Rattus norvegicus: one gene and its partners. The protein of the gene in region 2 purifies or fractionates together with the protein of the main gene of each other region. This does not show direct contact. Links are inferred from orthologs where the notes say so. Each region holds a gene or a part of one and is shown on either strand. Other genes may lie near its edges.

The links.
Region 1: the proteins of Vdac1 (region 2) and Atp5f1c fractionate together in Homo sapiens (co-fractionation; 3 studies listed by BioGRID, with this or other methods). This does not show direct contact. The link is inferred for Rattus norvegicus from reciprocal best matches to the Homo sapiens genes VDAC1 and ATP5F1C.
Region 3: the proteins of Vdac1 (region 2) and Rab2a purify together in Homo sapiens (affinity purification with mass spectrometry; 3 studies listed by BioGRID and IntAct, with this or other methods). This does not show direct contact. The link is inferred for Rattus norvegicus from reciprocal best matches to the Homo sapiens genes VDAC1 and RAB2A.
Region 4: the proteins of Vdac1 (region 2) and Atp1a1 fractionate together in Homo sapiens (co-fractionation; 3 studies listed by BioGRID, with this or other methods). This does not show direct contact. The link is inferred for Rattus norvegicus from reciprocal best matches to the Homo sapiens genes VDAC1 and ATP1A1.

What each region holds. Positions count from the first base shown.
Region 1 is NC_086035.1:73,349,296-73,354,104, forward strand, and holds part of Atp5f1c (ATP synthase subunit gamma, mitochondrial), read left to right. Parts: intron 1-935; coding exon 936-1,140; intron 1,141-1,588; coding exon 1,589-1,797; intron 1,798-2,839; coding exon 2,840-2,995; intron 2,996-3,330; exon of another isoform or gene 3,331-3,380; coding exon 3,381-3,477; coding exon of another isoform or gene 3,478-3,481; exon of another isoform or gene 3,482-4,809.
Region 2 is NC_086028.1:37,055,994-37,061,797, reverse strand, and holds the end of Vdac1 (voltage-dependent anion-selective channel protein 1), read right to left. Parts: intron 4,940-5,804; coding exon 4,789-4,939; intron 3,188-4,788; coding exon 3,130-3,187; coding exon of another isoform or gene 3,023-3,129; exon of another isoform or gene 2,231-3,022; coding exon 2,139-2,230; 3' UTR 1,256-2,138; downstream 1-1,255. UniProt on the Homo sapiens protein: Non-selective voltage-gated ion channel that mediates the transport of anions and cations through the mitochondrion outer membrane and plasma membrane.
Region 3 is NC_086023.1:26,470,823-26,476,933, reverse strand, and holds the start of Rab2a (ras-related protein Rab-2A), read right to left. Parts: upstream 3,511-6,111; 5' UTR 3,309-3,510; coding exon 3,263-3,308; intron 1-3,262.
Region 4 is NC_086020.1:191,716,205-191,721,674, reverse strand, and holds part of Atp1a1 (sodium/potassium-transporting ATPase subunit alpha-1 precursor), read left to right. Parts: intron 1-88; coding exon 89-198; intron 199-2,125; coding exon 2,126-2,260; intron 2,261-2,710; coding exon 2,711-2,903; intron 2,904-4,067; coding exon 4,068-4,243; intron 4,244-5,192; coding exon 5,193-5,329; intron 5,330-5,470. UniProt on the Homo sapiens protein: This is the catalytic component of the active enzyme, which catalyzes the hydrolysis of ATP coupled with the exchange of sodium and potassium ions across the plasma membrane.

The DNA of each region.
Region 1 (4,809 bases), on a different chromosome or scaffold from region 2:
ATTCTTCACTTATGTGGGAGAAATTGCCTGAGAGAACTGACGAGTTTCTGTAAATGGAGCGATCAGATCCTGGCAACTTCTGATGTATTTGAGCTAAAGAGTGAGTCCTACTGCCAGACAGTACCAGCCAGTAAATGGACGTTCATTTAAATATCTCCTATGCAGTAGTCAGATCTAAGTAGATGTATGTGTCCTCCATACTCCCTGGACTTTGTAGTTTCAGGCTCTCTTTCAGCTCGGGGAGGGACACTTAGACATTAGCCACGTGAGATCCATGCTTTGTAATGAGAACAGAACGTGAGTGCATGTGGTGGCTGTGGAGATGCTCCTGCAGTCCTGGCTGTAGCCAGCTATTGAGGGCCACCCCTGGGTCTGATGGTTCTTCAGCCCCTCGACTTGTTTTCTGATGCAGGTAATTCATTTTGTAAGATCCAGGTATTTTAATCCAACTTGATTTTCTTCTTTGCATTTACCTCTTAAAAACCAGACCAGGAAAGTTGATTGAGTAATACCAAAGGTAAATCACACCCATAACTTCAGTATCAACATTTCTTATAAAACAAGAGCTTAATGGTGTCGGGATTAAGTGAGTGGCTCAGGAATGCTTGCTTATTATTTTAGCTATCTATGCTGGGAATTCACATTGTATAGAAATCTGATGTCTAGCTAAGCAGGTACTTTTGTGTTCTGTTCTGCTTTTGGTTATATCTAGGCATTTAAGTCATTTAAGACACAAAGAACTGGCCACCAATTGACCCTCAGTGGTGTCCTTCCTGGTAGTAATAGAATAAACACACAAACACCCCTGATTCTGCTCACCAGGACGGATCCAACAGACATGCAAAGTGTAAATTACCTCATTCCCTTTTAATTAGAGATTATCACTACAGTCACTATAAATGTCATTTCAGCGGTCTTCTCACTTTGTTTTTCAGCTCTGTATGAGAAGGCTGAGATTAAGGGACCTGAGGACAAGAAGAAGCACCTCATTATTGGTGTGTCCTCGGATCGAGGCCTTTGTGGTGCTATTCATTCCTCCGTGGCTAAACAAATGAAGAATGACATGGCTGCCCTCACAGCAGCTGGGAAAGAAGTTATGATTGTTGGAATTGGTGAAAAAATCAAGAGCATACTTTATAGGTAAATGAGACATGTGTTCCATGTTCAGAAGAGTGGGAACCTGAGCGAATGGAAGACTGAGATAGAGAAGTTTTTCGTGATACATTGGAGTGTTTGTGTATACTGTGTGTTGGTTTTTACACTGTGTGTGTGCATGGGCTCTCCTCTATACCAGGAGTGGAATACAGTGAAGCTTACCAGAGCTGTTGGCATTAAGCTAAAGAAGGAATCCTGAGTTGTCACAGCCTAGTAATCCTAGAAAGGACCACTAGTCCACTAAGACTGGACAGTAGACGGGCCTGACTTGTAGATCTTGGTTTTTGCAGGTGCCCTTAAAGGAAGTCATGATGTATAGAACAACTTAACCCACCTCCCACATCCCTACAAAAAGCCCTGGCCTATGATAACTTTTTTCTTTTGCTCTTTTCTCACAACGCAGTATCTCACTCACCTATTGTGTGCTTTCCAGGACTCACTCTGATCAGTTTTTGGTGTCCTTCAAAGACGTGGGGCGGAAGCCCCCTACTTTTGGAGATGCATCGGTCATTGCCTTGGAGTTGTTAAATTCGGGATATGAATTTGATGAAGGCTCTATTATCTTTAATCAGTTCAAGTCTGTTATCTCCTACAAGACAGAAGAGAAGCCCATCTTCTCTTTCAGTACCGTCGTGGCTGCTGGTAAGCCGCCTTCACACGGCAGGTGTGGCGACTGGGATGCTGTCTCTGTAGTTCAGAGCGCCTGCTGCTTTTACAAAGGACGTGGGGTCGGTTCCCAGCCCTCACATATCAGCTCCCAGCTGTCTGTCATTGCACATCTAACCCCCTTCTGACTCTGGGCATTAGTCACACACATAGTACACAGCATACATGTGTGCAAAATACTCATAAGATAAAATAAGAAAGGCAGCAGCACTGTTGTGCCCTCCAGGACACCTTAACCAAGCTGGAGACAGCCGAGCTCTGATCTGTCATTTTACTGACCAGTGTTAGTAAGAAAGTTCCTGTTTCCAGTGACTGAAAAGCCTTGTTAAAAATTGGCTTGATGCAGTTTGCAAACAACTGCTGTGCAGTCAGATGTTAGAGGTTTAAAGTGCTCATGGTAACTGATTTTTATGCCCACTGAACTCTGTCATCTTATTATTGGACAGTCACCTTTGCCAGAAACAGCATACCTTGTGTGTATTATATTTCATCTGTGGAGTTTACTTTGGGGTGTTGTGTATAATTACCCCTTTTCCCCCTCCTTAGACATGGGTACTTGCTGTTTAGCTCAGGCTGGTCTCCAAATGCACAGTCCTTTGTATAACACTATTAGATTGTCTTTGATTTTTTTTTAATTAAAAAAATATTGAATGATGTATATGTGACAAATGCTTGGCTAGCTGCTATTTGGAGAGCTTTATAACCATGAAACCTAAGCCCCCACACACTCCCCTGATAGCTGAGGATTGCACTTGCTCGGCAAACACTCTCCTTATTGAGCTAAATTCTCAACCCCCTAATTTTGAAATTTAGTGCTTATTTTAAATGCCAGCTTAAAGTTATCTTTGGGGTTAAAAGCTAAATACCTGTTGATGCATGTTTTTGCTGATGATATGCTATGGAAATTGAATTATTAGAACAGTCATTTAACTCAAGATCATTTAGAATCCTTAGTCATGAGCTATATGAATAAGCTTCATCTATATTCTTCAAGGACACTCTTGACTTGTTTTAACAGAGAACATGAGCATTTATGATGACATTGATGCTGACGTGCTGCAGAATTACCAGGAATACAATCTGGCCAACATCATCTACTACTCCCTGAAGGAGTCCACCACCAGTGAGCAGAGTGCCAGGATGACCGCCATGGACAACGCCAGCAAGAACGCCTGTAAGCCCATGCTAGACAACATCGTTAGCCCATGCTAGAAACAAGGGATTGGACAAAGCTCCAGGAACACTTAGAGCCTAGCTGCATCTCTGCCAGAGTGCGTGCGTGCGTCTGTCTGAGTGTTGCTCAGAGTGGCACCAAAAATGTTAAAAGAGTGTTTTGTTGAGGTGTCCATCTTACTTGATAGTGGATTTGCAAGCACCATGAACATGGCTTGTGGAAAATGTGAAAAATAACTTGATTAAATTCCTACCAACCTGAAAGGCCAGTTTGGGGGTCCAAATTGCAGCAGAATTTACTTCAACTCTTAATTGCTTCAATTAAGTAGAAATTACTCTTTTCAAAACGTTTTATTGTGGTGTCTGTCTGTCCCTTTTGTTTGCAGCTGATATGATTGATAAATTGACGCTGACTTTCAACCGCACCCGCCAGGCCGTCATCACGAAGGAGCTGATAGAGATCATCTCCGGGGCTGCTGCTCTGTAAGTAGTGTAGCTGGTGCCTGTGAAGCCGCTCTTCTCTCCGCACGCACGTGGGTCAGCGAGCCTCGGGCCGTTGACTTTTCTGTTCTGTTACAACCGAAAAGACTTGCTGCAGCGTCTGTGTCCTTTCATCAATCCTGATGGAAAAGACATCTCTGCTTTATCCTTACGGTTTGAGCTGAAATGTTCAAATTTAATTTCCCATCTTGAGAGAGGCCTTTGTATGCAGTTGACTTTCTTGAAGTATTGGGGAGAAAGCCGTGAATAATTCAGTATCAATTTGGAAAGTCTGGTTTTGGAACTAATTGTATCTATAAGCCAAACTTTCTCAGTTAAAGACTAGTTTTAGGTTTGATTTTATATAATTCTGTTAATTACTGGATGATGAGAATTTTAAGTCACTAAATATTCTTCATTGGTAAATACCAATGAGTACCATAAAATAGCATGCTGTTTTCCGCCAGATAATGTCTGGATTGTTGAAAGATTAAACTGGCCATCAACCACGTGCAGTTTCCCAGGCAGGTTGTTATAACAGAGGAAGCATGTGGTGATTGCCTTTGGCTTGCTAAGGCTTTCCTCCTCCTGACTGGCCACTGAGTTCTCTGAGTTTTACCTTCTAGAACGCTCTAATCTTTCCTGTCTTCATGCCATTTTTTAAACTGTAAAAGGGTTTGCTGGGGATAGGGGTTTGCTGCATTGCCTGAGCGGTTCCCAGAGTCATAGGCTCGGGCTTCCTCTCTGCCTGCCTAGTGGCATCAGGGCTAGTCTGAAGAAAGATGTAATTTGTAGATGCCAGACCCTCAAGGTGTAGTAGAGGCTGTGCTTGTTTTCAGAGAATATACTATCTTTGTTATGAGGACACAAAGAAGACAGTACAGAATTATGGCGATTACTGAAACTTTGGTCTGGGGCCATATTGTAAAGGGTTTAAAGAAGACCGTGTGTAGCCCCCAAGGGGAAGATACTTCCTTGCTGCCTTTTTACAGGTTCAGCCTTCAAAAAAGTCTACTTTGTTGCATGTAAACCTGTACTTTCTGGCCATCAGCAATCTTTCTCATATAGAATTGTATAGTTACTTGCTTGAACCTTGATCTTCCCAGGTCTTTAAACACATCGTCCTGTTTTTCACTTCCAAGAGGTGTCTGGTCTTGTCTGGGCTTCAGTTCCTCTCTGATTGTTCATTCTTCATCTGACAACTCTTCACCTTCCTTGATTGGGCGAGGGGAATCTTTTCTTCCAAAAAAACCTAACTTTTGTTGTCTAAGTGAGGCATCTTTTAGCACCTGACCACACACTGTGTCTTAGTGCTATGCTATTTTATCAGGAATT
Region 2 (5,804 bases):
GATCCAACACCCCTAGCTTCCTGACTCAACTGTTGGCATTCTGTCTAAGCTCCACCCCCAGTTACCTGGCAACAGTCAGGTTTGCCTGGCATTATAAAAGGGGCTGCTTACCCCCTCCTCACTCTCTTGCCCTCTTCTCCTTTGTCCCTTCTCTCCCCACCACCCCCCTTCCTTCCACATGCTCATGGCCGGCTTTTACTCCTCTCCTCTTCTACTATTCCTCTTATTAAACCTTTCCACGTGGAACCATGTTGGTCTGTTGTGGTTTGACTCCAACACTAAGGGCAGGCCCTCCCGAACCTCGCAAAAACAGCGGAACAGTTTCCACACGTACCTTGGCGTTCGAGCTCTCTCGATAGTTCTGGCTCTGGCTCCGGTGGGCCATTGGAACTAGTGTTAATTTATCTCAGCAGCTCCACACTGGCCCCATCTACTTTCTGACCCACTGTCCATGAGCCATTCCAACCCGACTGTCAGGCTGCCCCGCCCTCACTCACTGCTCTCTTGGCTGGTTTCCATCACACCAGGTCAGGTATACACATCCCAACTCCGTGGTGGGCCCAGTACATCCTGCCACCATACACTTTCTTGAACTCAATTTAAATCATCGCATGAAAGAACACATCACACAATAACCTCTGGTCCAACTGATAAGATATAATTTGCCCATCTAGACGACACAAAATCCTATACATATCCATCCCTTAAGAATAGTCATTACAACCTGTAATATGTGCAGAGAGGAATCTTAACATCCGCCGCCATGCTCTCTCAGCTCCTTCCTCCTTGGCTCCAGCCTTCTCTGCCTCTCTAAAACTTTTCTCCTGTCCATCCTTCTCGCCCAATGACAGGCCTCTTTCTATCCATCCCAGCCTTCACCTGCATAATGACATCAACCTACACCTCACAACTCTCCTCTTCACAGAACTCACTCACTATATCCTTGTGTTATCTCCAAGGATGTGCCATCACATCAACTGTGATGCTTTCTTAAAAGATGTTTTTATTTGTGTCACACACGTGTGGGTACCTAAGGCGGCCAGGAGAGGGAGTCAGAGAGCGGCTGCAGGGCTACAGGAGCAGGAAGCACTGTTAAGCCCCTCTCCAGCCTCCAAAGTCTTCTTTTCTGTCAGGTTAGTGGTGACTTATCAGACAGACACCAAGAACAAAAGTCCTATGAACGCAAAGGAGCAAAGCACAAATCCAAACCAGTGCCCTGGCCATTCACAGTTTTACCAAAAGCAACGAGAGAGGATGAGGTTTCAGTATTTTATTCAAGTTTTATTTTAAGTGATGTTAATTACAGCATTTGAAGGGGAGGAGCTAATTCCACACAAAATGGAAGACTCTATAATGTACCCATTAAACTGCTAAAAATAGTGGTGCGGCTACAAGAGGAGTCCGTTGAGATCCCTAGTGTTGTCAGGGTGTGACCACAATCACCCGCCCAGCTCTGAGCCGGAGAACCTGGAAGCTATTTCATACTCTGGTGCAATGGCAAAAAAAAAGGAATTAAAAAAAAAAAACAGAAGAAAGGAAGAAAACCACACCACAACACAAGGAAGAATTAAGTCCTGAATGACTGGCTTCATCATGCCCACCCTCTCCACCCTAAAATGGCACAAAAGAAATTGCTAACTACACCCTAAAGACTACTTTTGGTGTAAAACAGGTAACTGATGGGCTAGGATGGGAACAGGGCACGATGGGAACAGGGCGTGACCATCCGATAAAAAAAAAAAAAAACCGTCCCTTTCACGTAGGTGTGTACATGCTTCCGAGCAGACAGGATCGGGACACCGGGGTTCGATGTTCAGGAAGTCACAATTTCATGTGCGGACTGGATACAGATTTACAAAGGGTCCACACGTTCCCAGCTTCCACTTGCAGCCTGGCATCTCTAGAGGAGCTCCTCCCCAGCCCACGCCTACAGCTAAAAAGGACCCTTCCTGGAATGGGGTTTCCGCTGTACCTCTGAAACGGTAAACACCTTAAAGCCGAGTCATCCTTAGCCTGGAGGTCTAACGTGGTATCAATCAACTCTCGCATCCCCAACATATGACATTAAAAGGTACACTAAACTCTGAAGGTAGCTATGCTGCAAAATAGTTTAAAATTAACGATTGTACAATATTCATTTATGCTTGAAATTCCAGTCCTAAACCAAGCTTGTGGCCACCCGCATTGACGTTCTTGCCATCCAGCAGGGCTGACAGTGTCAGTTTGATACCTGTAGGGAGATGAGGCAGAAGGTGTGGGAGGGCGGGGTGACAGTTGGAGGAAGAAAGGGGCAGGAGGGAGGGAAAGAGAAGAGAGGTTAACATCAAAGTCAGAGTCTGTTCCAGGCGGTGGCCAAGCAAGGTGAGCCTTCAAGCTTCTATAATACAACACGGCCTGCTGCCATCCTCAAAGCAACACATGTGAATGGCCACCGCTGGGACGCAGAGCAGAGAGACCCTGCTGGAATCCTTCCGAATCCCCGTTCCATCCTGCCTCCCCCAGCCCAGTTACAATGAGTGTGCCAACCACTACTGCCACCCTACAACAAGACTTGCTGGAGCAATACTGCATTAGAGGGAAACCCTATCCTGTAACAGCCTGAGTCTTACATTCATCTTCACACACAAACACACGCACGCACACGCGCGCGCGCACACACGCAAACAATAAACTTCTTCTTTTCCTGGGACTTAGATCGAACGGGCTGGTTTTCCCTAGAGGAACTTGATTCTCATATCACATAATCAGCCTTGAGCATTTCTGCAGTCCTCACACTCTAGTGAGAGGCTGGGATAACTATGCATAGAAGACCCACTACCCACCATCCCTATGTCTATCGTGAGGATGACTGACAGGATAATTTTGACTCCAGCCTGGGAGTAGCTATCGGGTATCATATACTGGGAAAAGGAAAGGAGAAAAGAACCAGAGATGTGATGTGAGTTAGCCCAGGCCGTTTCCTTCTGTACTCTTTTCTCGGACTCTCTTCTTACAATGGCTTCCCAACTCCCTTAATAAACATTTAATTATTATAAAAGCCTATATATACTCGTTTATAATGTCCCTCAGCAATAGCGGAAATCAGCAAAACGCAACAGAAAACTAGCTTTGCACGTGGGTAACACCTACCTGGTTTTAGGGTCTGAGTGTACCCTAAGCCAATTAGACTGGAGTTGTTCACTTTGGCCTGAAGGAAAAAAGAAAAAAAGTCCAAGTGAAGATGGTGTCCCTCACCCGTGAAAACTGTCCTACAGGTCTACCTCCAAAATTGGTGACAGCATCTTAGGCAAATCCCAGGTATCAGAACCGTGTTCACGCCTGCTCATGGCCATCTTGGAAAACTCAACATGAGATGTGTCACGTGCAGGTGCGTGTGCTTTCCCCGCTTCTGTGAACTTCCAAGGACAGAGCAAGGAGAAGAAGGGCTCTCGGCAGGCCGTGTCCCTTCTAACTGTTCCTTTATGCTCCCAACATCCCAACAAGGAGAGCCCTTGTTTTACAAGCATGCCTCATGTTGAGGGAGCCGAGTCCAGTTCCCAGGTCAGGAGACTTACAATAGACTCTGTGAGTTACACCAACCCACAGAAACATTCTGCAACACAACACTTCCTCATTCCACCTCAAAAAGGTGGTCACCTACAGTGCGATGACAGAAGCCAGTTGAGTGGGTTCACCATAAAACCTGTGCCATTCTGGGCCCCTGACGGGTGCCATGGGGTTAGCAAGACAAGATGCCACCTGGTTTTGTCTTTTTTTAGAGATGTGATCTCACTATAGAGCCCAAAGCTGCCTCTGAACTCTTGCAAGAATGGCCTTCTGATCCTTCTGCCTGCTGCTTCTGCAGTTCTGGGGACCAAGCACAGGCTTTCTGCATGTTAAGCCAGCATTCTACCAAACGAGCTACATCGAAGCCTTGATTCTGTTTGTTTGGGGTTTTCCCCAGTAATGCGGCTGAAGTCAGGCCCTCGAACGTGCTGGGCCAGGGCTCTACCACTGGAATACACTGACCGTTGATGTCTTCATGTGGACTGTAGGGACTGAAAACCAAATGAAATGAGGGGAAGAATAAAACACCCCTTACAGTTGTCATGATGGGACAGATGAATTAGAGAGGCTCGAGAATGGAGCGGTCTGCTTACAGCCAGGCCCAGCACATACTTGCTGGGTGCTGGGTGCCTTTAAGGAAGTTACCCAATTAACCTCCATAAGTGCTCAGCTCCTCCAGTGTAAAAATACTGAAGATATAAAAGCCACGCAGGTATCAAGTGGGATTGACACGCCTTTAATCCCAACACTTGAGAGGCAGAGGCAGGTGGATCTCTTGAATTTGAGGCCTTCCTGGTCTACAAAGTGAGTTCTAGGACACTCAAGGCTACACAGAGAAACCTTGTCTCCAAAAAAATACAAAAATAAAAACAAAAGCCATGGAGGCCAATTGTGGCACATTCCTTTAATCCCAGCACTGGTAAGGCAGAGGCAGGCAGATCTCTATGAGAACTATAGAGTAAGTTCCAGACCACCAAGGCCATATAGTGAGGCTTCTTCTAAAAAGTATCTGTCTCAAGGATCTCAATTAAATACAAGCATCATCTCAGGGTTGGGGATTTAGCTCAGTGGTAGAGCGCTTGCCTAGCAAGCACAAGGCCCTGGGTTCAGTCCCCAGCTCCGAAAAAAAGAAAAAAGAGGAAAAAAAAAATACAAGAATCATCTCTGCCCAGTGAGAAAACATCTAAGCAGAAGCACAGAAATCTCTCAATCGTGTGAGACGAGTGATTCTCAGGTACCCACCGAAAAGCAGGCATCAGGGTCGACCTGATACTTGGCTGCTATTCCAAAGCGAGTGTTACTGTTTCCTGCGGTCCAGGCGAGATTGACAGCAGTCTCCAACTTCTTGTTCACCTTCTGGTAAATGGAGCCACCAAACTCCGTCCCATCATTCCTGCAAGTAAGCATAGCCAACAGATGTCCAGCTGTCTGGGGAGGTGGGATGAAACCCAGGTCGAGTCAACAACACTAACAAGAAAGCAAGGTTGCCAGAAATAGACTAATCAAGCCAGGGTATGGAGACCAAATTTCACAGAACAAGTGCTGAAATACAGGAAGCCCTACCAGAGCAGCACAGAACCTCAAGACAGCTTCTAAATACTCTTTAAAAATGGAGGTAGATGGAGAAGTGGCTCAGTTAAAAGTACTTGCTGCTCTTCCAAAGGACCTGAGTTCAGCTCCCAGCACCCACATCAGGCAGTTTACAACTGCCCATAACTCAGCTGTAGAGCATCCAGCCCACCGTGGGCACCTGCACACACATCTTACACACACATCTTACACACACATCTTACACACACATCTTACACACACACACACACACACACACACACACGAATAAAAATAAACCCGTTTTGGTCCTCCCCCCAATGAAAGCAGAAACTAGAAAATTAGAATCCTACAGAGCTCTCTGCTGTCTACTGTCTGTGTCTTCACTTTTGTAAAAGATGGTAGGAGGGAAGCCAAGGAGAAGAGACACAGCCAGAACAATCAAGAAAGTTCTGCGCCACATTCCTTGGAAGGCAAGTGCTGTGGTTTGGATGAGGAAGAACAGGACAGACTCCGTGCAAGTTGTTATATAACCTCCACACATACACTGGAGCATAGTAGTTCACAGACAGACAGACAGACAAAGACACACACACACACACACACACACACACACACACACAAAATACATGTTTTTAATTGTATTAATGGAAATAATATTGGTTTAGACCAATACCATTATTGGTCTGAGTTTAAGAAGCCATTTATTT
Region 3 (6,111 bases), on a different chromosome or scaffold from region 2:
GTAATTCTGCACTGCAACTGTCTGACCCATGGTACAGCCATCAAACCTTGATATCAAAGCAGGAGTGTGGAGACAAATGAGAAACTCTGAGGAGTTTCTCACACTAGGAGCTTATTTATAAATGTATTAAGATTTAAATGTATTTGAGACTTTTTTTTTTCTTCCCTACGAGATTTCTTAATTTGGGGACTTAAGAGAGGGCCCAATTGTTGAGGGCACTTGCTGCCCTTTCAGAGATCATGGATTAGCTCCCAAAAACCATATATGGTAGCTCAACTCCAGTTCCAGGTGATTTGATATGACACCTTCTTCTGGCCTCTACAGACATCAGGCAAGTACATGGTATAAACACACACACACACACCCATACACACCCCCAACACACATGCATATACAGTATATGCAGTTACTCATGCACATACATAAAATTTCAAAAAATTAAGACTTCACAATTTTAACAGTTCAAATAATAAAATCTTGGACAAAGAGGACTGCATTCGTGATTAGTTCTCAAATCTCTAACCTAGGTCACCTAACCTGTGCTCATTATTTAACTTCAGCTCAAATGTTACCTCTGCAGTAAGAAGTTCCTCACAAGGTACACAAACTTTTTCACACAATAGTGAGAAGAAAAGCCTTCTAATAAAAAGGATCATTTAAAATCTAGTAGAGTGGGGAAGAAGGGTGGAGGACCAGAGAACGGGGCAGGCGAGGACAAGACCACTGTAATCCAACAGGGAAGGAAGAGAGTTGGTCAGGAAAGGCAGTTTTACCACAATCTAGGCAAAAGAAAAGGGGGCATTTTTAGCTGTGAGTAAACACAAGTGGCTTGTGGACTTTTGTATCTGGATGAGGGACAGAAGGATTGATGATGAGGTTAAAAACTCACAGATGTGTTCGGTTCCTGAAATTGGCTTTTTCTGATAATTATTATGTACTTACATTACTCAGCTAGGCTTGCTCAAAGCAAAAACACTTTACACTTTATAAATCGCATTATACTTGTTAGTACACTCTATGAAATAAAATGGTAGAAATTTTCAAGCAAAAGCACTAAGCAAAAAGGTAGCAGAATTGGAGTTAAAAATTGAAATTATTAATGTATAGTAGTCGAAGTATAGTCCATTTGGCTCCTGATTAACGTAGTTAACTATATAAGGTCTACCTTTGACTAGGTTCATCCTAACGCACAGAACCATACAGCAAACCTTTTCTACCCTCAAGAAGTACATAAGCAAATGCAGATGCCCACACAAACACCTATAAAATAAGTCTGGAATAAACATCAGGAAAATGATATAAATTGAGAACTATAATCCAGAAAATAAGCACTCACTTCTAACCAAGGTACCAGGAGAATACTGGTGTATATAAGAGGTCAAGAGATGTTGATTCTGCAGGCATTATGGAAGGCCTGGGCAAGGCTTTAATTAAAAGACTAACAAAATTTCATAGGGAAAGATAATGGCAGAAGGCAGGCCAACAGAGGGAGAAGGACCGACAAGACAAGCCTCAGAAGGCAACAGCAAGGTGATGCGGTAGGAAAGAATGCTAGAGAAGCAGGAGGTACTTCAGTTCACTGAGGATCAAACTAAAAAGGCAAAGGCATATGAAAGCAAGAGCTTGCCTCTTGACAAGGTAGTTCAGGGTAAACTGATGTTAAACTACACTAGATAAACTGGAGTGTGGACGAAGTGTTACCCTACAGCCCAGTGTCAAGCAGTCAAATGCCAGAACTAGGTCAGACCAGAATGCCAAGAAAGTGTCTTCCCTTCTAAGGCACGCACAGGGACTGTATTTGGATGGGGACGCATTTCCTGAGAACACAGCACCAGCTTGGTAGTATCTGTCCTCCCATTACTCCCTGCACATTACTTTGTCAATCCACAATAGATCCCTCATCAAAACAGGATACCTTGCAAATTCTCAATCTAAATTGTGCTGCTGCTCAGACAACCAAGTGCTTAGTTACTCCCGTTTCACAAACCCAGGCATATTGCAGTTAATCTGACATCTCCAATTTTGCTTTTTTATAACTCAGTGCTTTTATTTTAGATACCACTTTCCCAGTTTACAAAATATGGCTTTACCCAGTACCTTGCATAGAAAACTATCCAGTTTCCTTACACACACACACACACACTCACATCCCTTGCTGAAAAACTGTATTTACAGCAGGAAGTTTTTATTGGGCAGCAATCAACATACTTCCAGAGTTACTTATAGAACCTGCTACATCATAGGGCAACCTCAAACCTGCTTCTACATTTACAAAGTTGTGTAAGGGGTCTAGGTTGTGCAACAGTCAGCACTGAAATCAGACTCTGATGTATTAATAGTTTTAACACCTAAACAAGCTTTACGTTTATTATTAGATTCGAAATGAGGCCCAAATCGCAGGTATTCAAAGTATTTCATGAACAGCTTGCTTATTTGCTTGAGAAACTTATTAGGATGCTATTTTTAAGTGGGGACTGATTTTTTTTTCTTTTTGCTACAAATGTACACGAGGTCACTTGAAAATTAGCAGTTGTGATCTTGGACTTGACACAACTGAAAAAAAGAAAAAAATCAGTAGTCAGTCAGCATACCCACTGTATGCTCACACCCAGAGCACTGACCTGCCTTGCATTACTATCCAATCAAATAATCCCAGCATACACGTGGCAAAAGTCGCCGGAGTCTACAGTGCTTTAATGACCCCGAGAAGAATTGCCCTGCCACTGAATCATGTGACCTGACTTATTAGGACTTGGAGGTTGAGGATGTTTCAAAAAAAAAAAGATTTTTTTTTTCCTTTTTCAATTTTTTTTTCTCCTCAACAGGCTGTCCCACTTCAGGGTGCGCCTTGCCAGGGCCTAGACGGAAGCGTGCAGGTCGGGGAGGTGGGACCAGGGAGAAAAATCCGGACTGGGGCCTGTCACGCTCTAATTCGCTCGGCTTTTCTCTCACTCCCCGGGCCGCAAAGACAGTCGAGGCGGGGCCCCGGGGACAGCCATCCTGCTGTCACACTCTCCGGGAGTGGCAAACGGCTGCCGCTGGCTGGGCTGCAGCGGGCCCGGGCGAAGCGGGGAAGGCCCAGCCAGGCCGCGGCCGCTCGCAGCGCCCACGTCACCAGCGCCAGCACTGCGGAAATGGAGCGGCGGCCAGGGGACCGAGGGAGGAAGGGAGGCGCCGCGCCGCCCGACCCGTGCCTACCGGCGCCACCGCCGTTTGCCCCTCCTGCCCGCTCTGGGTCTCCCAAGCCCGCCGCCGGCCTCACCTGTGTCGCCGATGATGATGTACTTGAAGAGATAGGCGTACGCCATGGCCGCGGCCGCTCCGTGCCAGGCTCACGGCTCCTCCTCCCGCTGTGCGCCTCCTCCGCGCCCTCACCGGCGCCGCTCGGCCGCGAACCCGGGCCCCGCCCGCCGTCGGTCGCCGTCAGAGCCAGCAGCAAGGGCCGAGGGGCAGCGGGACGAACTGACAGCGCCGAGCGCGGATCGCAGCGGCCCAGCCCTTCGGAACAATAACAGCCGCGGCGCCTCCGCCCCGCCTCCGCGCCGACCCGGAAGTGCTGCCGCCGCCGGCGCCGCCGGAGGAGAGGGGAGGAGCCGCGGCCGCGCCCTCCGGTCGGAGTCCCGCCTACCCCGGAGCCCCGCCCACCAGGCTGGGTGTCCGGGAGTCGCGAGGAGCCCAAGCAGGCTAGGTTCAGCTCCGCTCTTTGTGTGTGTGTGTGTGTGTGTGTGTGTGTGTGCGCGTGTGCGTGTGTGTGTGTGTGTGTGTGTGTGTGTGTCTGTCTGTCTGTCTGTCTGTCTGTCTGTCTGTCTGTGTGTCTGTCTGTGTGTCTGTCTGTGTGCGTGCGTGCGTGCGTGCGTGTGTGTGTGTGTGTGTGTGTGTAGTGTTTGGGGAAACTAAATCGGGAGCTAGTAATTGTGGTATGCCCCTATAATGGAATACTATGCTGTTATGCTGTTCCTTAAAATATGTAAAACAAAAAAATCTGTATAAATATTGAAGTAGATATACCTTTGCATGCCATTTATCAGACCATAATTCTAAGTGCCGTGTTGTATATTCATGTAATGTATACGATATGTAGCTTAATCGTGTTCTGTATATGTATTGTATGAAACACTGAAATAAATACCTGATATTAAGTTACACGATGGAATTGATAAGAAGTGTATGTGTGTGTGCAGTTCAAAGTTTTTGCCTTTGACTCTATCCTGTATATATTGTTAGTGGTACCAGCAAGAAGCAGACTTAGTTCTTTAAAAGCCCAGGTTTTGAAGAAGGTGGAGGACAGAGTTTAACTATCTAAACAGTTTTCTGGAGAGATTGCATCTGAACCAGTTACCGGAAAGCCTGTATCAAAAGGACAAAGGTTATTACAAGCCTGCCATGCATTTATAATCTCAGCCCTCGGGAGATAGATAGAGGAAGGAGGGTCAGGAGTTCTAGATCATTCTTTACAACACTGAGGGGTCAAACAAGGGACCCTGTCTCAAAAAAATGTGTCCTGAAAATGAACAGATAAAGCACCTGCCAGGCAAGCCTGTCTTGAGTTCATTCTCTAGAAACCACAATGGAAGGACACACACACACACACACACACACACACACACCACACATCACACCACACACACCACACACACACACACCACACACATACCACACACACAAAACACACACACTACACACCACACACACACCACACACCACACACACAAAACACACACCACACACCACACACATACCACACACCACACACACACATCACACACCACACACACAAAACACACACACTACACACCACACACACAGACACACACACACACAACACATACACACATACACACCACACACCACACACACACCACACACACACACCACACACACACACACACACAAAACACACACACCACACACCGCACACACACACACACCACACACACACACACACACAAAACACACACACCACACACCGCACACACACACACACACACACCACACACACACACACCGCACACACACCACACACCACACACATACCACACACCACACACACACATCACACACCACACACACAAAACACACACACAAAACACACACACCACACACCGCACACACACACACACACACACCACACACACACACACCGCACACACACCACACACCACACACATACCACACACCACACACACACATCACACACCACACACACACTACACACCACACACACAGACACACACAACACATACACACATACACACCACATACCACACACACACCACACACCATACACCACACACACACACAAAACACACACACCACACACACACACACCACAACACACACACACAGCACACGTGTGCTCGGAATAAAGCGGAATGGTGCTCATGGATCTGTTCAGGGAATTTAAGAGTTGTGTAAGGAAGCTAATTTAGTGCTTCAAACCCTCTTCTGTTGGCAACAGAAAGAAACACTGCTGGAGGAGGAATGAGTGGGCTTTGCGGCCAGCCTCCTGCTGACTGTCATTGCTTTCCTTTAGGAATCTGCCATTCTGTGATTATAGATCATGGCATCATGCTAGGACGAGTGAAGTTGGTTGCTACTTCATTTGCATCACTGACAAGCAGAAACCCACTAGGCTTTTCTTCATTACGTGGGACGTGGTTTGCTAAAGGTTCAGGAATTTGATGTGAAAATCTGAAAATCTGGTCCACTGGTCTTTAGGGCCTTCCCCGGGTCCTTCAGGTTTCAGGCTGTTTTGCCCTTCCTATCTAATTGACTTCACCCAAGTCATCTTTTCTGAGACTGTTCAGAAACTCAGGTCCTTACTCTTAGAGTGTGGTCTTGACTATCTCAGTCCCTGAATGACAGTTCTCTAGAATGTCTGTAAGAGTGTATCCTCCTTTGGAATCAAGAACATTCCCTAGAGCAGACAGCTAAGGGAAGACAAGTTGCCTGAGTCAGGCCATGTAAAGCTATACACATATGAAGTTTATATAGGAGTCCCAAGGGAAATTATGAAGGGAAAGAATTAGGTATGCAGGAAAAAAAACCCAGAAATATATACACAGTGCTAGAGGCAATGTGGTATAAAGAGCTTAGATTCACTTTTTCTTT
Region 4 (5,470 bases), on a different chromosome or scaffold from region 2:
CACACACAGAGAGCACACACATATAAATTAATTTTTAAAAAGCCAACACATCGTGTTTCTGTCATGTGTTCTTGCTTCCTTCCATCAGGGGTCTCCTTTGACAAGACGTCAGCCACCTGGTTCGCTCTGTCCAGAATTGCTGGTCTCTGTAACAGGGCAGTGTTTCAGGCTAACCAAGAAAACCTGCCTATCCTTAAGGTATGCCTGCCCCTGAGAAGGGCTCTGGCCTATTTGGTTGTTTGGGGTGGGGAATGGGGATAAGGATGTGGTTAGAACATAAGAACGCCATCATTCTTTCCAAACAGCACCTTGCTTTTGTATGTAGACAAACAGCTTCATTGCAGAATGCTCGAGATTTTTTGTGGGAAACTTCGCTCCTTATAGCAAAGATTGTGTTGCCCAGAACTCCAAAGTGATTTCAGTGGCCACAGTCCATACTGATCAAGGACGACTAGAAAAAGAAAGTAAAAAATCACACCTGAGAAAGTCTTGGTGAAAAGCCTCAGTAGACCAGTTTGTACCCCATCCCCCAGACAGCACCTAACCAAGGGGACAGTGAGACTGCCTTACTGATTCTAATTGTGTTCGCATGTTCAGATACACTAGATTCCAGTAAATCTCTTAAGCCATTAATGTTCTTAAAATAGCTCAGCTATTTCCCTTATCTTACTACTTGCTCTTAGCTTGCTTGCTAATGATGCAAAAATAAGATCAAGGCAGTCGCAGCCTCCTGGAATACTCACACAGTTTGCGGTGGCTGGGGTTTTACTGTGTTGCTCAAGTGCTACTGAGTCTCAGAAGAACCCCGAGTTACAGATGTTCAGGTGCTGGGGGAGGTTCCCGGGCCCCAACTGTCCTCTGTGATGCTGCTGGCCTGTGGGAGTTCTCTATATAAACCAGCCATCAGCGAATGAGGCTCAGACCTAACTGAGGCAGCTTGTCTTGTGAGGCTGGGCTTTATTCTTTGAAGGCTGTTTGCTTGGCGTTGGGTTGGAGTTGGTTTAAGAAAGATGTTGTTTAGCTTGGGAGTCACTTGAAGATGGCTGCCTCATGTTTTGCCTTACCTCAGAGTGGGCATTTTCTATCTTTCTTGACCAAAAAAAAAAGAAAAAGAAAAAATTATCAAGAGATATTTGAAGGGTAGCCAAGCTGTGAAAATAATAGCATTATTTTCCCTCCCTGTCAAGGTTTCTGAAAGTAATTTTATTCTGCTTGATAGTTGGCTTTTCTTTTCTTTTCTCTTTTCTTTTTTTTTTTCTTTTTTTCAGAGCTGGGGACCGAACCCAGGGCCTTGTGCTTGCTAGGCATGCTAGGCAAGCGCTCTACCACTGAGCTAAATCCCCAACCCCTCTTTCCTCTTTTCAAATGGTCATCACCACCACCCCTCTCTCACAGGGCTGCTGTCCTTGTGAGAGTCTGTTTGCTCACCTTCGTGTCCAGGCTCACATGTCAGAGGTCTAAAATGCTCACCTGTATAAAAGTTGTTTACAGGAGAAATGCTTGGTAGGTCAAAACCGTTGTGTGGTCATGTGAGTAAGTGGATCATAGAAAACATAGGTGTGTGTCCCAAAGCAAGGACAGTGACTTAACACCACCTGATTATGCTACTGCCAGGGCTGGGAAGAGCGTCCAGCTCACAGGCTTCAAGCCCAGATGATTTTGCACATTGCACATACATGGAGCCTTTGACAGCTTGTGCCTGGCTCTGAGCCCTAAGCCATGTCGCTTTAAAGGCTGAGGCAATGAGTGATATAGAAATCTTTGAGGTTGGTTGGTTTGTTTGTTTGTTTGTTTTGTTTTTTCCCATACTTACAGCCACAAGTGTTGAGTTGTGAATAGTGTTGAGTGCGAGGCTTTGTAGCAGCCCAGGGGAAGGTAAAGGCAGACTCCAGTAGGTAGGGAAGTCGGTGATGTCTCCAGGCACCCTTTCACCTGAAGCTGATATGGATGGGGAAGGAGGTTAGCCCGGAGCCTGGGGCACTGTGAACAGCCTGGTCTGGGTCACTTCTCACCTCTTTTCTCTGCCACTGACAAGATTGGAGTACATCCAGAGTTTACTATTTCCCAGCGATGCCGTATGAATCAGCCTTCCCAGGTCATTAACAGACGATGTCTCTGTTCCCAGCGTGCAGTAGCGGGAGATGCTTCCGAGTCGGCGCTCTTAAAGTGCATCGAGGTCTGCTGTGGCTCCGTGATGGAGATGAGGGAGAAGTACACCAAGATAGTGGAGATTCCTTTCAACTCCACCAACAAGTACCAGGTGTGCCAGTCAGGGACACTCACACGGGGCATGGGGGACCCTGGGGCTCGTGAGCTAGAGGAAGAGACATTCTTCACGCAGTCAGGCTCCCCAAGCTCTGTCTGACTTTAAATTTGGGAGTCTCCTTTTATTTGAATATCAGTAGGAGAAATGAAACCTCTCTCAGAATGTTGTTGGGGACCTTGGAGTTGGGGGCTGGAAGAGGAGGGAGATTGTACCAAGCGTTCTCCAGGAGTTCATGATTGTCTCTGTGAGCATGTGTATGTTAGATGTGTCTTCACTTAGGCATACAGTAAATGCCTGCTTCTGTAAAATCAGCATGTACCGTGAGAAAGGAGCTCTTAGTTTGCTTTATATTATAGCAGGTACTAACTGGTTAGGAAAGCCGACCTTCCTCCCTGAGCTGCCTCGTGCAGCCTCCTAATGCTTGCGTCTGAATGATCTTCACAGCTCTCCATTCACAAGAACCCAAACGCATCGGAGCCTAAGCACCTGCTAGTGATGAAGGGCGCCCCAGAAAGGATCCTGGACCGATGCAGTTCTATCCTCCTCCACGGCAAGGAGCAGCCCCTGGACGAAGAGCTGAAGGACGCCTTTCAGAATGCCTACCTAGAGCTGGGGGGCCTTGGAGAGCGTGTGCTAGGTATGCAGGTGACCGCCATGGCTCCTGAGCACAGCTGTGTCAAGCACAGCGATCTCCGTGTTCTCGGGGTGTTCCTCTTAACGTAGGGGAGCCACGCTGCTGATTACATTGTTTAAAGCAGAGGTGTGGAGAAATAATGGTTATATTGGCAAACAGTGTTGTTGCTTGGCTGACCTGTGGCTTCACGATACTCAGTTCTATATGGCAGGAGGTGGGGGTGGCAGTTTATTGTCTAACCTCATTGTTATGGCCATGGTCTGTAAGCTTAATTAAAATCTGTTTGTTTCTGGTGTGCCTAAGTAATACCTAAGATGACTGTTCTTGGCCCCTGGGAAGTGACCACTCCACTCATAAAACCAGCAGCAAGCCAGAAAGCCAGGATGCTGACTGTATCCTAACCGGGCAACTGCTGAGGTTGGCACAGAAGTTTATTTTGCCCTCTGTTCAAATTTATTTGGGCAACTGGCACTAACAATATTTTATATATTGGTAGATACAAATCCATTATTTGATTATTCCTGGTATCTAAAGGTACTTGAGAACCAATCACTTGGTCTAGTTCTCTGGGTCAGACACCTTTTCCTACAAAACTAACCTATAGGCAGTTTCTCCCACATGTCTGCCCAATAGAAAGACTACTGTCTTCTCTAAGGTCATTTTGCTTTTTTGCTTTTCCCAACCCCAAGTAAGAGGGATCTACTCTTCTTGGGACTGTCACACAGTGCTGAAGGCAAAGTCTGAATGTCTTATGTCTTAAAATGGACAGCCATGTGTTACAATCACAGCAGGATGTCTGTTCTGTGTCCGTCTTCAGAGACGCTCCTGTGAATGCCCATACAGGCGCTCAGTAACAATGACTAGATAGGAAGAAAGTCTCAGTTTTCCAGATAAGGTGCCTATGTATAATTCATCACACTGAGCAGCCTAACGGCATGGTGCTAAAGCTAGTGGTCCAATGGTCCCCACACTGAGTATTCTTGACCCTGGATAATTCTTTCTGAATTCTGTCCTCTGGCCATTTTTATTCTCTCACTGACTCTGTATTATTCCTAAACTTTGACATTTAACATGTAGCCCATATAGTCATGATGGTTTGAAGGACTGCAATTGACCCTCACAGCCTATGGCACTGGAAACCTAACAGGTACTTGCCCTCCCTTGTAGGTTTCTGCCACCTCCTTCTGCCTGACGAACAGTTTCCCGAAGGCTTCCAGTTTGACACTGATGAAGTCAATTTCCCCGTGGATAACCTCTGCTTCGTGGGTCTTATCTCCATGATTGACCCTCCTCGAGCTGCTGTCCCCGATGCTGTGGGCAAATGCCGCAGCGCTGGGATTAAGGTATGGCCTGTTTGTCTCCTTGGCTTTGTCACAGAGCTGTGGTTCCTGGTCCAAACACTGCCCTGGTCCATACAGTGCTCCCTCTCCCTCTCCCTCTCCCTCTCCCTCTCCCTCTCCCTCTCCCTCTCCCTCTCCCTCTTCCTCTCCCTCTCCCTCTCCCTCCCTTCCCCCCCCCCCCCAATAGTGTCTATCCATCTCTCATTTCCTAAGCCTTAGGTGTAACCCTGAAGGGTCAGATACTCTTGAAAGGTTGAGGTTTAAATTTGGAAATGCAGTGAATGGCATGCTACCCCATGTTTTGAGCTGGCTTCTCAGTGATTCGGTCTCTGTTCTTTTTCTGAGGGCCTCAGTACTGTGCTGCCTTTACCCCCGAGGCTGCTTCTGCTGTCCTCAGGCTCCTGAGGATCCTTCACTGAGAAGCTTGATATTAATTATCTTTTCAGTACTTTATTTCTTTTAAAGGATACTTTTCTAAATATTAAAAAAAAAAAAAAAGAAACCATGGGCTGGGGACATGCTGCGTGGTTAGGGACCTGAGTTTGGTTCCCGGCACCCACCTGACGAAGCTCACAACCACCTGTGGCTCAGACTCCAGGGGGCCTGATGCCTCCAAGGACTCCCGCACTTGGTGTGCTGTCCCCAACCCCTTGACACAAACTCATACACACATACTCTAAATAAAATCTATAGTCGTCCTCCAGAACCGGATGAGTGTGGAAGTGCTATCCAGCAGTATACACGGCGTCCTAGCCCAACCGATATTAGGTCTTCTTACTCTGATAGTTTTAAAAAAATGTGACTTTTATGTTTCTGTAAAAAGAGATACAACATAATGCATTGTGGATATAGTCATGGCATTGGGCTGTGTTTTTTTCTGAAATATGTGTTTATATTTTATGTGTTTATATTTTTGATGAGTTGATGCCTACCATTCAGTTTCCTGTTTCAGGTCATCATGGTCACAGGAGACCATCCAATCACAGCCAAAGCCATTGCTAAGGGGGTGGGCATTATCTCAGAAGGTAACGAGACCGTGGAAGACATTGCTGCCCGCCTCAACATTCCAGTGAACCAGGTGAACCCCAGGTACGGCAAGAAGCTGAAGTATAGTCCCTTCCTGGCTCTGGACTGATTTGTTTCTTGGCTTGCACCAAGGGAGTAGGGAGTGCTCCCACACTACTAGAGAGAGCGTGACCTTGTTGCTCATAGGGAGAGGTCACATTAATC